3 linked regions of the Callithrix jacchus genome follow. The protein of the gene in region 1 interacts with the protein of each later gene in a pairwise test. Links are inferred from orthologs where the notes say so. Each region holds a gene or a part of one and is shown on either strand. Other genes may lie near its edges.

The links. The genes of interacting proteins can lie anywhere in the genome.
Region 2: the proteins of EGFR (region 1) and PRKCA interact in binary tests that used the Homo sapiens proteins (3 or more experiments, as listed by UniProt). The link is inferred for Callithrix jacchus from reciprocal best matches to the Homo sapiens genes EGFR and PRKCA.
Region 3: the proteins of EGFR (region 1) and AKAP12 interact in binary tests that used the Homo sapiens proteins (3 or more experiments, as listed by UniProt). The link is inferred for Callithrix jacchus from reciprocal best matches to the Homo sapiens genes EGFR and AKAP12.

What each region holds. Positions count from the first base shown.
Region 1 is NC_133512.1:22,474,318-22,479,540, reverse strand, and holds the start of EGFR (epidermal growth factor receptor), read right to left. Parts: upstream 3,073-5,223; 5' UTR 2,815-3,072; coding exon 2,727-2,814; intron 1-2,726. UniProt on the Homo sapiens protein: Receptor tyrosine kinase binding ligands of the EGF family and activating several signaling cascades to convert extracellular cues into appropriate cellular responses.
Region 2 is NC_133506.1:122,598,715-122,603,837, forward strand, and holds part of PRKCA (protein kinase C alpha type), read right to left. Parts: intron 1,623-5,123; coding exon 1,466-1,622; intron 471-1,465; coding exon 336-470; intron 1-335. UniProt on the Homo sapiens protein: Calcium-activated, phospholipid- and diacylglycerol (DAG)-dependent serine/threonine-protein kinase that is involved in positive and negative regulation of cell proliferation, apoptosis, differentiation, migration and adhesion, tumorigenesis, cardiac hypertrophy, angiogenesis, platelet function and inflammation, by directly phosphorylating targets such as RAF1, BCL2, CSPG4, TNNT2/CTNT, or activating signaling cascade involving MAPK1/3 (ERK1/2) and RAP1GAP.
Region 3 is NC_133505.1:158,182,676-158,187,798, forward strand, and holds part of AKAP12 (A-kinase anchor protein 12), read left to right. Parts: intron 1-1,388; exon of another isoform or gene 1,389-1,494; intron 1,495-2,967; coding exon 2,968-5,123. UniProt on the Homo sapiens protein: Anchoring protein that mediates the subcellular compartmentation of protein kinase A (PKA) and protein kinase C (PKC).

The DNA.
Region 1 (5,223 bases):
GGTTTGTTCAGCATCCCTCAAGCAGGTTCCACTCCATGCTCACTGACCTGGGGACTGAGCAGCCTCCATGGAAAGTGACCAGACAGAGGGCCGAAGAACTCAGCAGGAAAGCAGATTGCTGGCAGCCCATGGTTGTTCAAGCTTCAGACAGGGGCCCATCTTCATGAGCCGGCTTTCTGGGCTCTTTCCCATTGCTAGCTCTGACATTAAACACTCGCACACACCTGACCTGGATCGCCTGAAACCAGAACTCTGACGAGGCAGTGGCGTTTGGAAGTTGAGAGAGGCATCTGGAGTCGGAAGGCCTGCATGTGAATTTCACGCTGCTGCCTAGCAGCCTCGAGAAAGTCACTTTAATCCTTTGTACCTCAGTTTCCCCCATAGGAGGGGAGCGCATGCCTCTTATGCTTAATGTGAGGACTGAAAGGATGCATGAAACAGTGTGTGGCAGTCTTTTGCTCTAAGAGCAGCAAGCCCAGAAGTTAGCATGTCCCGGAACCAAAGTGCACCTTGAACAAAACCGACTGAACTTGATAGACACAGGCCTTCAACAAACTTCTGCTGAAAGAGCTCATCTCCTATTTTAATAATTGCCCCTGAACATTCAGTCTTTTATGTCACCGTAATGGAATAGCGTCTGTTCACCTACTCTCTGTCGTCTTCAGGAGCATTCTGTTTTGGGTGAATATGGGACCAACAGGCAAATTAAGTGGTATTTATATTTTTCTTAGGAACAAATCTCCAGCCACTAATACAGGTGTTCAAGCTAGTAACATCAAAGAACAAGAACACCGCTGGAGGGAGGAAAGTGATGCTTTGGAGGTGCTCTGCATGTTTAATTTAAAATAAAGAGAAGAGTCTCTGCTCTTCCGCAGAGACAGGGCTGGCACCTGACTCACAGGGTCGCGTAGGCTCAGCAGAGGAGGAATCTTTCCAAGAGTTCCTTCAGTGAGAAGAGAAATCCTTTATTATTGGAATCACACCCTACCTTTCCCCTCTTTCCTATATTTGGCAAGATTGTTAAAACTCCAGATGTCCTCAAAGAGCTCTTTGCATTGGCAAGTAATCTCTCCGGAGACTTTAACAATCCTTCTTCCGTGCAGTGATCCCCAAACCTGGCTGCCCAACAGATCACATGAAAAGCATTTTTAAAAATACCATATCCAGGTCTTGCCCCATGTCAATTAAATCAGAATGTCTGGGGGTGGGAGCCAGACACTGGTTTCTGTTTTGGTTTTAAAAAATCCCAGGTAATTCTAAACTGCAGCAAGGTCTGGGAACCACTGTTCTATGCCTTGTCCCTCCCCCAACAACGGCGCTGGGCACCAAACCCCAACGCCTCATGCCAGTGACATCAACAGCAAGTACGGGCCTGGCTCCTGGAACCCGCGCAGCTCAAGGCTGGAATTGTGCAATTAAACCTGAGGCATGTTTCCCATGTCAGATGGGTTTATGAGGGTAGTCACGAAGCCAGACTCGCTCATGTTCTGTCTGGAGACTTGGCACACGTGAACCAGGGACATCAATCTGGTGTGTGTGTGTGTGTGTGTGTGTATGACAGGTTTAATATTTTGGTTGGCCCAATGTCAAATTCTTCAAACGGCAAAGAGAAACATCCAAGAAAGAAACTCCCCGGGTTTTGAGAAGGAAAGTTTGCTGTGAGCCCCGTTTTGAAACACCGTGGTGTGGCCAGGACCGGCTCTGCTCCTTGAGCTTCCGCGCAAGAGTCCCGCGGTCCCCCTCTGGAGTGGCCGGACAGCCGCGTCCCGTTCCACCGCGAAGCCCAGGCTCGACCGAAGGGTTGCAGGCGTGGAAAACCCGCGACATGGCCACCGAACCAGAGCCCGGGGCTTTCGGGGGGGGGCGCCCCGGAGGGAGGTCGGGTCCTCAGCGGGACACACCTGGACCGGCCGAACTAGAGCGCGCCGGGCGGGGCGAGCCGCCGGCCGGGGTCTGCGCCCAAGGGGCGGGTCGGACCCCACCTGCCTTTTGCCAAGGAGGAAACTAACCGCCGCCAGCACCACCCCTTCCCGGGAGCCGCAGGTGGTGGCAGACGAGTTCTCCCAGCTCCCAGGTGAAGGCTGCTACTCCACACCCGGGAACGAGGCTCGCGGGGACCCGGAGAGGCGCCGGGGCCAGGCTGACCCACGCCGGCTTCAGCGTGAGACTCGCGCGGAGGGCGGAGGCGGGAGGTCAGCTCAGGAAGCCGCCTGTCCCGCGGGGTCCGAGGGGAGGCTGCATTCTCGGGGTCCTTCCTCAGCTTCCCTAAACCGCGCGGCCCTGCGGGTGGGCAGCGCTGGCCCCTCGGGTGCGCGTTCCGACCCCGCCGTGCCCTGGGAGGACAACGCGGGGCGCCATGCGGGACCCCGGCTCCCGGCGCCCACCGGGCCGCGGACGCCGATCCCGCGCAGAGAGGCGGGAAAGTAAGGGAGAAAAGTTGGGAGCGGTCGGGACCGCAGGAGGTGCCAGCTGCCGTTCTCCGCCCCGCCCGCAGCCCGGTGCCCTCCCCGTCTCCTCCTCCGCCCGCCGCGGACTCTCCCGGCCAGGGACGAAACGTCCCGTTCCTCCCGCGGTCCCGGCCGGCAGCGCAGCTGATCTCAAGGAAACAGGAACGGACGGGCGGGGGCGCGGGCACCGAGCCGGTGCGCCGGTGCGCGGCTGGGCTAGCTGCGGGGTCCGGGGCGCGCTCCGGGGGCGGCTCGGGAGCCGGCGAGACACGCCCTTACCTTTCTTTTCCTCCAGAGCCAGACTCGCTGGGCAGAGCGCAGCCAGCAGAGCCAGGAGCGCGGCCCCTGCCGTCCCTGAGGGTCGCATCGCTGCTCCCCGAAGAGCTCGCTCCGACGCTCCTGGATCAGTCCTGGACGGAGTCAGGCGGCCGTGCGCGGTGGCTGTGGCGGCGGCGAGGCGGGGACTCGGGCGGACGCCGCCGAGGTGGGTTGTCGTCCCGGCTGGGCGGCGGCGGCCCCCGGGACTCGCTCGGGACTCCAGCCGCCTTGGTCGCGGAGGGCTCTCACACCGTGCGGGGGGCGGAGGCTGCTGCGGCCGCGCGGCGCGGGGGCTGCCCGGACGTCTAGCTCGCGCGGGCCGGGACGTGGGGAAGGCTGGGCGGGAGGAGGAGGGACCAGGCGGCGGAGGAGGGATCGGGAGGAGCGGAGGAGGAGGAGAATGCGAGGAGGAGGGACGAGAACCAGCAGCAGGGACCCAAAGCCAGCGGCCGCCGGAGGCGGTGGACAGCGGTGACCCCCGCGGGACCCGGGCTCCGGCAGGAAAGGGGCGGCGCGTGGGAGGGGAGCGGGTGCCCTGAGGAGTTAATTTCCGAGAGGGGCGTTCCCAGCACTGCTCCTCTGGACTCAGTCTCCATGGACTTGCAGGCCCAGCTTATGCTGAGATGGAGCCAAATCTGTGCCAGGGTCCCCTTCCCCCTTTCCCTTCTTTTGTTTTACAAAGCAAACTTGTACCAGCTTTGGACAGATTGGCCAAGCCCTAGAGCCAGCGTCGGATAATGGCACCGACGGGGAAACTGCTCTTTTATTCTGGTCCCCACCTCCCCTGCAGCACCCTGGGACCCTCCCAGGGCTCAGAGGCTGGCCTGGCAGCTGAGGCGGTTGCCGTGCCTGTGCAGCAGGAGTGCCAGGCGTCCGAGGTGCTGATCCAAAGTCCGAGGGTCCTTCAGATCCCGTCAAGCACCCTCGAAATTGAATGAAATGAGGGTACCCAACTCCGAGCTCAGATACAGGCCTCCTCAATGTTTATTGTAACCGACCCTGGGTAATTTGAGCCAATGTGTGAGGCACAGTACTTCGCAAAAGGGAAGCTCTTGGAATAAACGCTTGACACAAACAGCCGTGGAGATACTTTTAGAGAGGCTAAGTGTCCCACTGCCCTGGTAGCTCCCACAGGAGAAATGCCAGGGAAATTCGCAGAGGCTTTGGCCGGAAGAAACTGAGCTGCTTTGGGCTGCAGGAACTTGAGCTACATTCCTTCTGCAAGTGCACCCTATCCCCACTGTTCCTTCTCCTACAGGAAAAATGCCCTCTAGGTCCATGTTACAGACCCCTCCTCTCCACAAGGTTCACTAGGACTTTCCGGCCTGATTCAACAACCTTGATCTCCCGGCTCTGTCAAGAACCACACTCCTGAAGTAAGTGGAGCCCTTTGCTGCCCTTTGCTGTCCCTGGAGGGGAGCAACCTTGCTTCTTTCCTTCCCATCCAGCAAATTGTCTGTGCCAGAGTTTCACACCCTGCAGCCTAAACGGTGGGGTTTTCAGCAGGGCAAGCGCAAACTCCTCACCGCCGACTCCTCACTGCCAGCTCCTCACCGCTGCTGCAACCTGGAACTTCCCCTGTGAATCAGGAGAAGTAATTTGTTCCTTTGTTTTAACCAATCAGGACAGCCACTGCAGGTTGAAGTCAGCCCCTGGATGCAGAGGCTGTGACGGCTCTGCAGGCACGTGTGTGCTTCCTCCACATATGCACACCTGGGCTGAGAGCAGTCCATAAAGAAACAAAGAAAAAACAAAACCAGGGAATGGCAAACGGGAAGCACAACAGCGGAACACAAAATGAAGACAGGAGTGAGTTTGACAATAAAAGACATGAGTACAGTGAAGTCGTATGAATTCAGTTAACAAGGACCACTGTGTTTTCTGTCAAGGGAATGTGACTTGTGTGTACAACTCATAACACAAATCAATTTATGTTAAGAAATGTTGAGTGTATAATAAAAATATATTGTTTGCTAAGAAGAACGATGGCAAGGAAAACCTAGCCGACCCCCTCACCGTCCCCCCCCCAAGTGGAAAACTGCTTGGGGCATTATAAAGTAGCGAGATGGAATATGTAAATCATACACTGATTAAAACAATTCTTTAAGCGTGGGATATGTGACCCAGTCTGGTGGCTTCCTTGTGGAGAATATCTAGTCTGTCCTTGATCAGTGGTAAGCAGGCACCAGCTGCTTGCCTAGTTTATCTTGGTCCTATGAAAAAACACGGAGCACCAGCTTTTTAATAATAATTGCCTGTTCAGAAAGAATAACTACGTGGGTCAGAGTCTGCTGGAGGTCCTCAGCCTGAATGCTGTCAGCCCCTGAGGCTCTCAGCTTGGAAGGCTGCTGGCCCCTGGATAGTCCCACTTTACTGTTGTATCTGGATGTCAGCTTCTTAATGCCTTCAGCACTGCCTGGGTGGTGGTCTCTATGGCTGAATTGGACTCGGTAAATTT
Region 2 (5,123 bases), on another chromosome or scaffold:
GGATAGCTCTGTTGCCCAGGCTGGAGTGCAATGGTGCAGCCTCCTGGGCTCAAGTGATCCTCACACCTCAGCCTCCTGAGTAGCTGAGACTACAGGTGCATACCACCACACCCGGCCAATTTTTGTATTTTTTGTAGAGATGGGGTTTTTCCATGTTGCCCAGGCTGGTCTCAAACTTTTGGACTCAGCAATCCACCTGCCTCAGCCTCCTGAAGTGCTGGCGTTATAGGTGTAAGGCACCATGTCCTGTCTCAACTGACATTTTAGGGACTTAAGCCTAACTGTCTAAATGGTCTGATGCTTTGAGACATATTCAACCTAAATGGCTTCCATACCAGCCACTGGCTGGCATCTTCATTAGCTCCGAAACTCCAAAGGAAAGGGATCCCATGAAGTCATTCCTTGTTGTTCGATCCCAGTCCCAGATTTCTACAGACAGTCGCCGGTCTTTGTCTGAAGGTTTCAATTTGCTGCAAGACACACACACACACACGCAAACACCAGGTTATCTTGCTTGTGGTTTTATTGGGAGATAACACATGTACGTGACTTGAGACTGAGATAGAGAATTAGTATATTTAATTCTCTTACTGGTCCAGTAAAATACCAAACCTTATGCTGGCAACCAAAGCTCTACAGGAGGAGTTAATAAACTATGACCCATGGGCCAAATCTGGCCCAGTCTATTTCTATAAATAAAGATTTATTAGAATGCAGCCATGGCTATTTGTTTCCATATTGTCTATGGCTGCTTTGGCACTAGAAAGTTAGAGTTACAGAGGTGCAACAGAGACCGTATGACTCACAAAGCCTCAAATATATACTCTCTGGTCCTTCACAGAGCAGAACTTGCTGGTCCCTCTAGAATAGAGAGCTACCTTTCTGGCTGTCCACAGAAAAACTGCCTCCTGTTACTAGTCTACAAAGAGGACCTCTTGCTTTTGCTCAGCTGCCCTCAGTCCTCCTGACTTATTTATTTCCTTCTTCCCCTTCTACCGTCTCTACCTCTGAAACCCGGGCAGCCCTCCCAGGCTGACTTTAAATGTCACATTTTCCAGGAATTCTCTCTTTGAAGGCAAGAATGATCTTCCCGTTTCAGTGGCAATAACACTTTCTATGTCGCTCACTCATTCTGTGATCTAAAAATTATTTAAATTCTCGCCTTATGCCCTCCCCTAACTCTCAAAAGAACCTAAATCCATCAAGAGGTGGACATACCTGATACATTTATCCAGATTAGATAATAATAATTTGAGGCCTGAATTATGCAACTCTTGGTATCATAATTACCATCTATCCAACAGGTACTAATAGCTACCTCCCTAATGGCAGCCTGAGGAGATCTTAGGACTGAAGACATGTTTAAAGACATTTATAAGCAGCCTACTTCATCATCTCAAATAATGAGGTGGGCAACTGCATGGCGTATGGGAACGAAATTTTATCAAGGAGAGGGACCACTTACAAGGTAAAGGACTCATTCCACTGGGGATTTAGCGTGGAGCGGATGGTTTTGGTTTTTTGTTTGCTTTCGTTCTTGGGATCAGGAATGAGTTTCAGCTTCACATAAGGATCTGAAAGCCCGTTTGGGTCCATAGGGATTAGATTTTTTGCGTCTCGTACTGTGAAGAGAGAAGGAAGAAAAGATTACAAAAAGAGAACAAACCTATATTGCCCAGTGTCCTGTGTCAATACCAAGCTGAATAAAAGAGACGTCAGGATGGCGTTTAGGGAGAGAAAAGGTGGAAACAAAAGCCTCTAATGCTCGGCTTGAGAAAAGGTACCCGCTGCCATCACTGGCAGAGATAACGGGCATCATGTGGGCCCTTGTGGGCGCGTCTGGAGACTCAGCACCAGCCTCGACTGGCAGCATCAGCAACACTCAGATTATCTATTAGAAATGCAGAAACCCAGGTCCCACCCCAAACCTGACCAAGAAGAATCCACAATTTAACAAGATTCCCAGGTGACCTGTGCAGCTTCCCAGGAGTATGGTGCACCCTCCCTACACGGAAGCAGCCAGTCCGACCTAGTCTCTGGCGCTCACATGGAGCTGAGCTCTGGGAAGGTGTTACCCCATTTTGTGGGTAACGACCAATGGTTTCCAACCCTGGCTGTACATTGAAATCACATGGGGGTTGGGGAATGGGGGTGTTAAAAATTCTAAACCCCACAATTAAACTATAATTTCCAGGGAATGTGGCTCAAATATTGGTTTTTATTTGTTTGTTTTTGAGACAAAGTCTCGCTCTGTCGCCCAGGCTGGAGCACAGTGGTATGATCTTGGCTCATTGTAACCTCCGCCTCTTGGGTTCAAGTGATTCTCCTGCCTCAGCTTCCCGAGTAGCTGGGATTACAGGCCACCATACCGGGCTAATTTTTGTATTTTCAGTAGAGACAGGGTTTTACCATGTTGGTCAGGGTGGTCTTGAACTCCTGACCTTGTGATCCACCCGCCTTGGCCTCCCAAAGTGCTGGGATTACAGTCGTGAGCCACCCAGCCTGGCCAAGTATTTGTTTTTAAAAGCTCCTTGGGTGATTCTATTGGGCAGCAGGGGCAAGCTATACACAGCTATAATTCAGAATTGCTACGAGGTGCTGGTCCATGGACCCGCAGCATCTACATCACGTGGGAGCTCATTAGACACGCAGAACCGTGAGCCCTATCCTTGGACTTAATAACTCTGAATCCTCACTTTAACAAGACCTCCAGGTGCTTTCAATGCAATCCTAGTTTGAAAAACCTGATATGGGAATCAAAAATAATTAGAAAGAAAGGCCATTTCACCCAGAGGAAGGCAGGTCTGAGATTCAATGGCTGGCAGAGGCTCACAACAGTGAGAAGCTGTCTAAAGCCACTGCACATCAATGTAAAAGGTAATTTATCCACTGCTATGATGAATAGACAAAGCCTTCAGCCTCCTACCCCAAATGCCTTCCTCGTTATCTTCCAATGGCATCTTCCCCAGTAAGGCAGAATTATCAGATCCCTAACTGGTCAGACACCATCAGCACGCGTATAACTGGGACCAGGCTCCCCAGTCCAGTGGTTCCCACAGTGTGGTCCCTGGAACTGGTCCAGCGGAACTGGCATCACCTTCTGAATCAGAACTCTGGGGTGGAGTCCAATGAGCTATATTTACCAAGCCTCCAGGTGATTCTGATGTCCATAAAAGTCCAGAACCATGGATCTAGGCAAATAGCATAGTTTATCAGCATAGTTTGATTGTTAAACTAAGAATTAGAGAGGAATTTAGAAGCAAGCACTGGAGTTGGCAGTGGGCAGGGCTAGATGGGAAGGGGGCGGGGCAGGGGAGAACCCTAAAGATGTTGGGTCTTTGGACAAACATGTGGGAGGTACAGCCCTAGGATCAGAAGTCAGAAATAGGCACTGCCTTTACTAGTCTGTGGACCTACTGTGTGCTGTCTCCTGCCAGCCAACAGCCTTATGTCTTCCTTACCTGGCAACCTTACAGAGGTGGGTAACAGATGGGACTAAATTCAAATAGTCAGAGAAGGGGAGGGGACTGGCTCAGGTCTGCTAGCCACAGAGAAGCTGAACATATGTCTATCACACCCCACTGGTGCCTTCCAAGTATGTCTTCTCCTAAGAAAGTATCTGACCTCATTCATCTCGGGGAGCACATAAATAAAACAAACAGGCATGATCCCCGTGGCTCAGCAGGTGTCTCACCAGGTAACCCTGAGCACAGGGAAGCTGAGTCTCTGAGCCTCTGTTTCTTCATCTAGAAAAATGAAGAGGGGCATAATTCCAGTGGTACAGACTGTTGGGAAAATCAAAGAAAATAATGTTTATAAAAAACCTTACATTGTTGGGGTCTTAGAAAATGGAAAAAAAAAAAATCCATGATGTGAGTGCTCACTACAGCCCGGAAACAGCGTTTCAGACTTGTGTCCACTCTTATCATTCTGAAATCCAGAGGGTTGGAGGCCCCCAGGGAACCTGGGCACTCAAGAATTCACCAAGCTCCTGTGAAAGGTTTTAATCCAATGCAGAAGGTCTTGCCCCTAAAACATCAACCCTAAGTATCACAAAAGATGAAAAATGTGAGCATAAAAATGGAGCTCTCTCATGAGGAGTGGAAAGAGGCCAATGGTCTATCTCTGATTAAACACCAGAATGAGAATCAGCTGCTTTTTAAAGGTAGAAAATGCCCCAGAATGTCTAACACTGGAGGCTGCAGAAGGTCACATACAGGATAAGCCAATGAAGACCCTTATCAAGGCCACCAAGAGCTCCTGGGTTGCAGAATTATTGTGGGCATCTGCTTTTAAGTCTTCAATTTATATTCCTGACAACACACATACATACACACACACAATCATGGAAGTATGATCTCTTCTGAATGGTGATGAGTTAAAATCTTGATGGGATTTAAAGCTGTGAGCTTCCTACTGAGATACTATCATTTAAGTAGAAAATAAAAAGAGTTATCAATTCCAAATGTCATTGAGGCGGACAGTGGGTCCAAATTTCAATTTCTTATCGCAGCAGAGAACAGCCTGTGTGATGTGTGACTCATGGCATGCCAGGACACCTTAATCAGGATTATGAGCAACTAACTTGGGGGTCCCATCTGCTCGGAGTGTGGGATCTGGGGCAAGGCTGCCTGCATTTGAATTCTGGCTCTGCCACTCTGTAGTTGTGGGCAAGTTATTTTATCTCCCAAGTTTCCTCATCTCAAAACTTGTATCTCCTTCGTCAGGATTATGTAGGCTCATACATATTAAGTGCTTAGAACAGTGATTGGCACATGGTGAGAGCATGATAGTGATGATCCTAATTGTTCTTAATACAAGTCACTGGTGGAGAAGAAAATCAACAAGGCTTAGATGTCCAGAAACTGCATCGACAGCATCTGCAAATGCCGAGGAGAACAGTACAATGTGGCAATCTGCGAACAGGGCCTGCAACTGCATGGTTTCAAGAATGTCTTAGGCTAAGAGGCAATGCTAGGGGCATTACTCACAGGAATAGTTGTAAGGAAGCTGGAAGAGGAGAAGCTAGGAAAGAGAAAATAAGAGGGAAATTGAAGTGGGGAAGTAGACGAGAACAAGGGCTGGAGACAGAAGAGAGAAACAAGGGAAATATGCAATCAAGA
Region 3 (5,123 bases), on another chromosome or scaffold:
TGAGAGAGAGAGAGGGAGAGAGAGGGAGAGAGAAAGAAAAGAGACAGTTGTTTTTAAGCCAGAATGAGGTCATTGTATATACTGTTTGGTAACCTGCTTTCTGCAGTCAAATCTCTACCCTTTTATTTCAGTTAAAATTCATCTCATCCAATCCCAAATCTCATATTCAGTTTTTCCCGGGAAGACCCAAAAATGTCCTTTGGCCGATCCAATTCAGGATCATGCTGGGCACCTCTGGTTGTTGTGTTCCTTAAATCTCTTAATTAACACAGTACTTTCTCCTCCACCTCCCCCCATTAAATCACATTGACTTGACTTTTCCCCTCAATGATTTTAAAATTACAAACCTGGAAAAACATAGTAAACACTTCTGTGCACTTGACCTAATTCACCATTTATGGAGAGCTACATCATCCGCCCACCACCCCCACCAAGCTATTTGAAAGTTACTTGCAGACAATCCTTTTTGTGTTTCTGCTTGATTTTCATTTTTCCGTGACATTGTTATTTCAGGCCAGGCTAGTCATTTTGCAGAACGTCCTTCATTGTGGATTTGTCTGTTTGTGTCCTCATGATGAGATGAGATGCTGTTAAATATTTTGGTCAGGACGTAGATGAATTCTTGTCCTTCTGAGTGCCTCACACCGGGAATCGAAATGCAATCTGTCCCATTATTGAGGATGTTAAATTTGATCACTTGGTTAAGGTGGTGCCTGCCAGATTTCTCCATTGTCAAGGTCATTCTTGTGAAATTAAGTAATGTGTGTGTCGGTACGCTGAATGTATGTTTCCTGACAGCCTTTTACCCGATGGCTTTAGCAGTCTGTGATCCTTGACTAAATGAGTTTTTTTGTGTTTTTTTTTTTTTTTGAGATGGAGTCTTGTTCTGTCGCTATCTCGGCTCACTGCAACCTCCACCTCCTGGGTTCAAGCAATTCTTCCGCCTCAGCCTCCCGAGTAGCTGGCACTACAGGAGCATGTCACCATGCCAGGCTATTTTTTTGTATTTTTAGTAGAGACAAGGTTTCACCATGTTAGCTAGGATGGTCTCGATCTCTTGACCTCATAATCTGCCTGCCTCGGCCTCCCAAAGTGCTGGGATTACAGGTGTGAGCCACTGCGCCCTGTAATCCCAGCACTTAGCACCAGTCTGAATAAATGAATTATTAAAATGGTGCTTGCAAATTGTGATTTTCTAAATCTAAAATTTTAAGATAATGACTTTGAGGATCAAAGTGGAAGTTATATCTATATTTATTGACCTTTTTTCCTTAAGAAAGTGCTCCCTGCTCCCTATTTACATTTTTTCGTATCACTCTCGATTCATGGATTCTTTTTTTATTCAATGTGCTGTAACTCATCAATGTCATTATTCTCTTTCATTTTCATGTCAGGTGAGTGATGTGCACAATCGTCGTAACAAGGTTTGAGGGTGGCACAGTCTCACACATGCTCGTGAACACCCAATCGTCACTATCGTGAACTATCAAGGATCCATTATTCTTTTTTATGCTTCAAAGTTTGGGCATTGGGAGCCCCTTCAAGCCAGCTCTTGTGTCCTTTTGACATACCTCTGTCAGCTTTTGAGCATCTTCTTTCAGTCACAAGAAAATATTTTTCATACACCCTATGACCCAGCCTGGAATTTCTCCAAAGAGCTCTGGTCCCTTATGGGGACCTGTTGAGACTTAGTTACCACATAGAATGTCCCCTCTTTTGGATTTGTGTGGATACTTGTTTGTTCTTTAGCTTGTTTCTCAAACTCTATATTTCCTATTAAGTGGGAAGTTGTATCTAAAACTTGATGGATTCTTGTTTAAAATATGGATGTGGGCCGGGCACAGTGGCTCACGCCTGTAACCCCAGCACTTTGGGAGGCCGAGGCAGGTGGATCACGAGGTCAAGAGATTGAGACCATCCTGGTCAACATGGTGAAACCCCGTCTCTACTAAAAATACAAAAAGTTAGCTGGGCACGGTGGTGTGTGCCTGTAGTCCCAGCTACTCAGGAGGCTGAGGCAGGAGAATTGCCTGAACCCAGGAGGCGGAGGTTGCGGTGAGCCGAGATCATGCCATCGCACTCCAGCCTGGGTAACAAGAGCGAAACTCCATCTCAAAAAAAAAAAATATATGGGTGTGATGTGGGATTCCATCTTACATTGCAACGGAAGATACACTGTCTGGTTGACTCACTCTTAGGGGTGCCGTGACTACTTACGTGAAACTAATTTTTTGATAGTTAAGTTTGTCGACTTTCCCTTTAACAGGCTACAGTAAGAGCAGATGATTCTCTTTGAACCTGAATTTTTAAAGGTCGTTGGAAGGAAGTAGACATTAATCTATTAAGATTTACAAATCTCTAGCCAGGCCTGGTGGCATATGCCTGTAGTCCCAGCTACTTGGGAGGCTGAGGCAGGAGAATCACTTGAACCCAGGAGGCGGAGGTTGCGGTGAGCTGAGATCACACCACTGCACTCCAGCCTGGGTGGTAAGAGCGAAACTCCATCTCAATATTAAAAAAAGATTTACACATCTCCATGAGATCTCACTTTGTCCTCGAGTTGCCTGTCATTAAAGAAAATATTAATTGGTCGTGTTTTTAAGATATTTAATTTTCGTGGGCTGGGCACAGTGGTTCACACCTATAATCCCACCACTTTAAGAAACTAAGGCAGGAGGATTGCTGGACCCCAGCAGCTGGAGACCAGCCTGGACCCACATAGTGAGATCTCATCTCTACAGAAAATAAAAAGTTAGCTGGACATTGTGGGATGTGCCTGTAGTCCCAGCTACCCGGGAGGCTGAGGTGGGAGGACTGCTTGAGCCTGGGAGGTTGAAGCTGCAGTGAATGGAGACCACACCATTGCCCTCCAGCCTGGGCAACAGAGTCGCGCCCTGTCTCAGAAAAACGATTTTCTTGAATTGTAATCATCTTTTCTCTTCTCCCCACCCCGCTTTTTGTTAATAGTTGGGCAGAGAGACTCTGAAGATGTGAGCAAAGGAGACTCTGATAAGGAGATGGCTGCTAAGTCAACAGTTGATCAAGACGTCAGAGACGACGGGCAGGAGGAGAGCCCCGAAATCCTCGACCAGATTCCTTCTTCAGAAAGCAATTTGGAAGAGCTAACACAATCTACAGAGTCCCAGGCTAATGATGTTGGATTTAAGAAGGTGTTTAAGTTTGTCGGCTTTAAATTCACTGTGAAAAAGGATAAGACAGAGAAGCCTGACACTGTCCAGCTACTCACTGTGAAAAAAGATGAAGGGGAAGGAGCAGCAGGGGATGGCGATCACCAGGACCCCAGCGCGGGGGCTGGAGAAGCAGCCTCCAAAGAAAGCGAACTCAAACAATCCACAGAGAAACCCGAAGAGAACCTGAAGCACGAGCAAAGCCACGCTGAAATTTCTCCTCCAGCCGAAGCTGGCCAAGCCGTGGAGGAATGCAAAGAGGAAGGAGAAGAGAAACAAGAAAAAGAACCCAGCAAGTCTGCAGAGTCCCCAGCGAGTCCCGTGACGACTGAAACAGCATCAACCTTCAAAAAATTCTTCACTCAAGGTTGGGCCGGCTGGCGAAAAAAGACCAGTTTCAGGAAGCCGAAGGAGGATGAACTGGAAGCTTCAGAGAAGAAAAAGGAACAAGAGCCAGAAAAAGACGCAGAAGAAAACGGAAAGGCAGAGGCCTCCTCCGAGCAGGCTCAGCCACAGGAGATGGCGGATAGCACCCCCGAGCCCCGGTTATCAGCTGAATATGAGAAAGTTGAGCTGCCCTCGGAGGAGGAGGTCAGTGGCTCGCAGGGACCTTCTGAAGAGAAACCCGCTCCGCTGGCGACAGAAGTGTTTGATGAGAAAATAGAAGGCCACCAGGAAGAGGTTGTGGCCGATGTCCACATCAGCACCGCAGAGGAGAGAACCGAGGAGCAGGAAGCAGAGGTGGAAGAAACGGCAGGGTCGGTACCTGCTGAAGAATTGGTTGAAATGAATGCAGAACCTCAGGAAGCCGAACCTGCCAAGGAGCTGGTGAAACTCAAAGACACGTGTGTTTCCGGAGTGGACCCTGTGCAGGGAGCTGACCTCAGTCCTGATGAGAAGGCACTGTCCAAGCCCCCCGAAGGCTTTGTGAGTGAGGTGGAGCTGCTGTCATCACAGGAGAGAATGAAGGTGCAGGGAAGTCCACTCAAGAAGCTTTTTACCAGCACTGGCTTAAAAAAGCTTTCTGGAAAGAAACAGAAAGGGAAAAGAGGAGGCGGAGATGAGGACTCAGGGGAGCACACTCAGGTTCCCGCCGATTCTCCGGACAGCCACGAGGAGCAGAAGGGGGACAGCTCGGCCTCGTCCCCCGAGGAGCCCGAGGAGATCACGTGTCTGGAGAAGGGCTTAGCCGAGGTGCACCAGGACGGGGAAGCTGAAGAAGGAGCTACTTCCGATGGAGAGAAAAAAAGAGAAGGTGTCACTCCCTGGGCATCATTCAAAAAGATGGTGACACCCAAGAAGCGCGTTAGACGGCCTTCGGAAAGTGACAAAGAAGATGAGCTGGACAAGGTCAAGAGCGCTACCTTGTCTTCCACCGAGAGCGCAGCCTCTGAAATGCAAGAAGAAATGAAAGGGAGCGTGGAAGAGCAAAAGCCAGAAGAACCGAAGCGCAAGGTGGATACCTCAGTATCTTGGGAAGCTTTAATTTGTGTGGGATCATCCAAGAAAAGAGCAAGGAAAGGGTCCTCCTCTGATGAGGAAGGGGGGCCAAAAACAATGGGAGGAGACCACCAGAAAACAGATGAGCCCGGAAGAGACAAAGAGACGGGGACAGACAGGACCCTTGCGGATTCCCAAGAACATGAGCCCGGGCAGGGCTGTTCATCCCCTGAGCAAGCTGGAAGCCCTACTGAAGGGGAGGGTGTTTCCACCTGGGAGTCATTTAAAAGGTTAGTCACGCCAAGAAAAAAATCCAAGTCCAAGCTGGAAGAGAAAAACGAAGACTCCGTAGCTGGGTCTGGTGTAGAACATTCCACTCCAGATGCTGAACCCGGGAAAGAAGAATCCTGGGTCTCAATCAAGAAGTTTATTCCTGGACGAAGGAAGAAAAGGCCAGATGGGAAGCAAGAACAAGTCCCTGCTGAAGACGCAGGG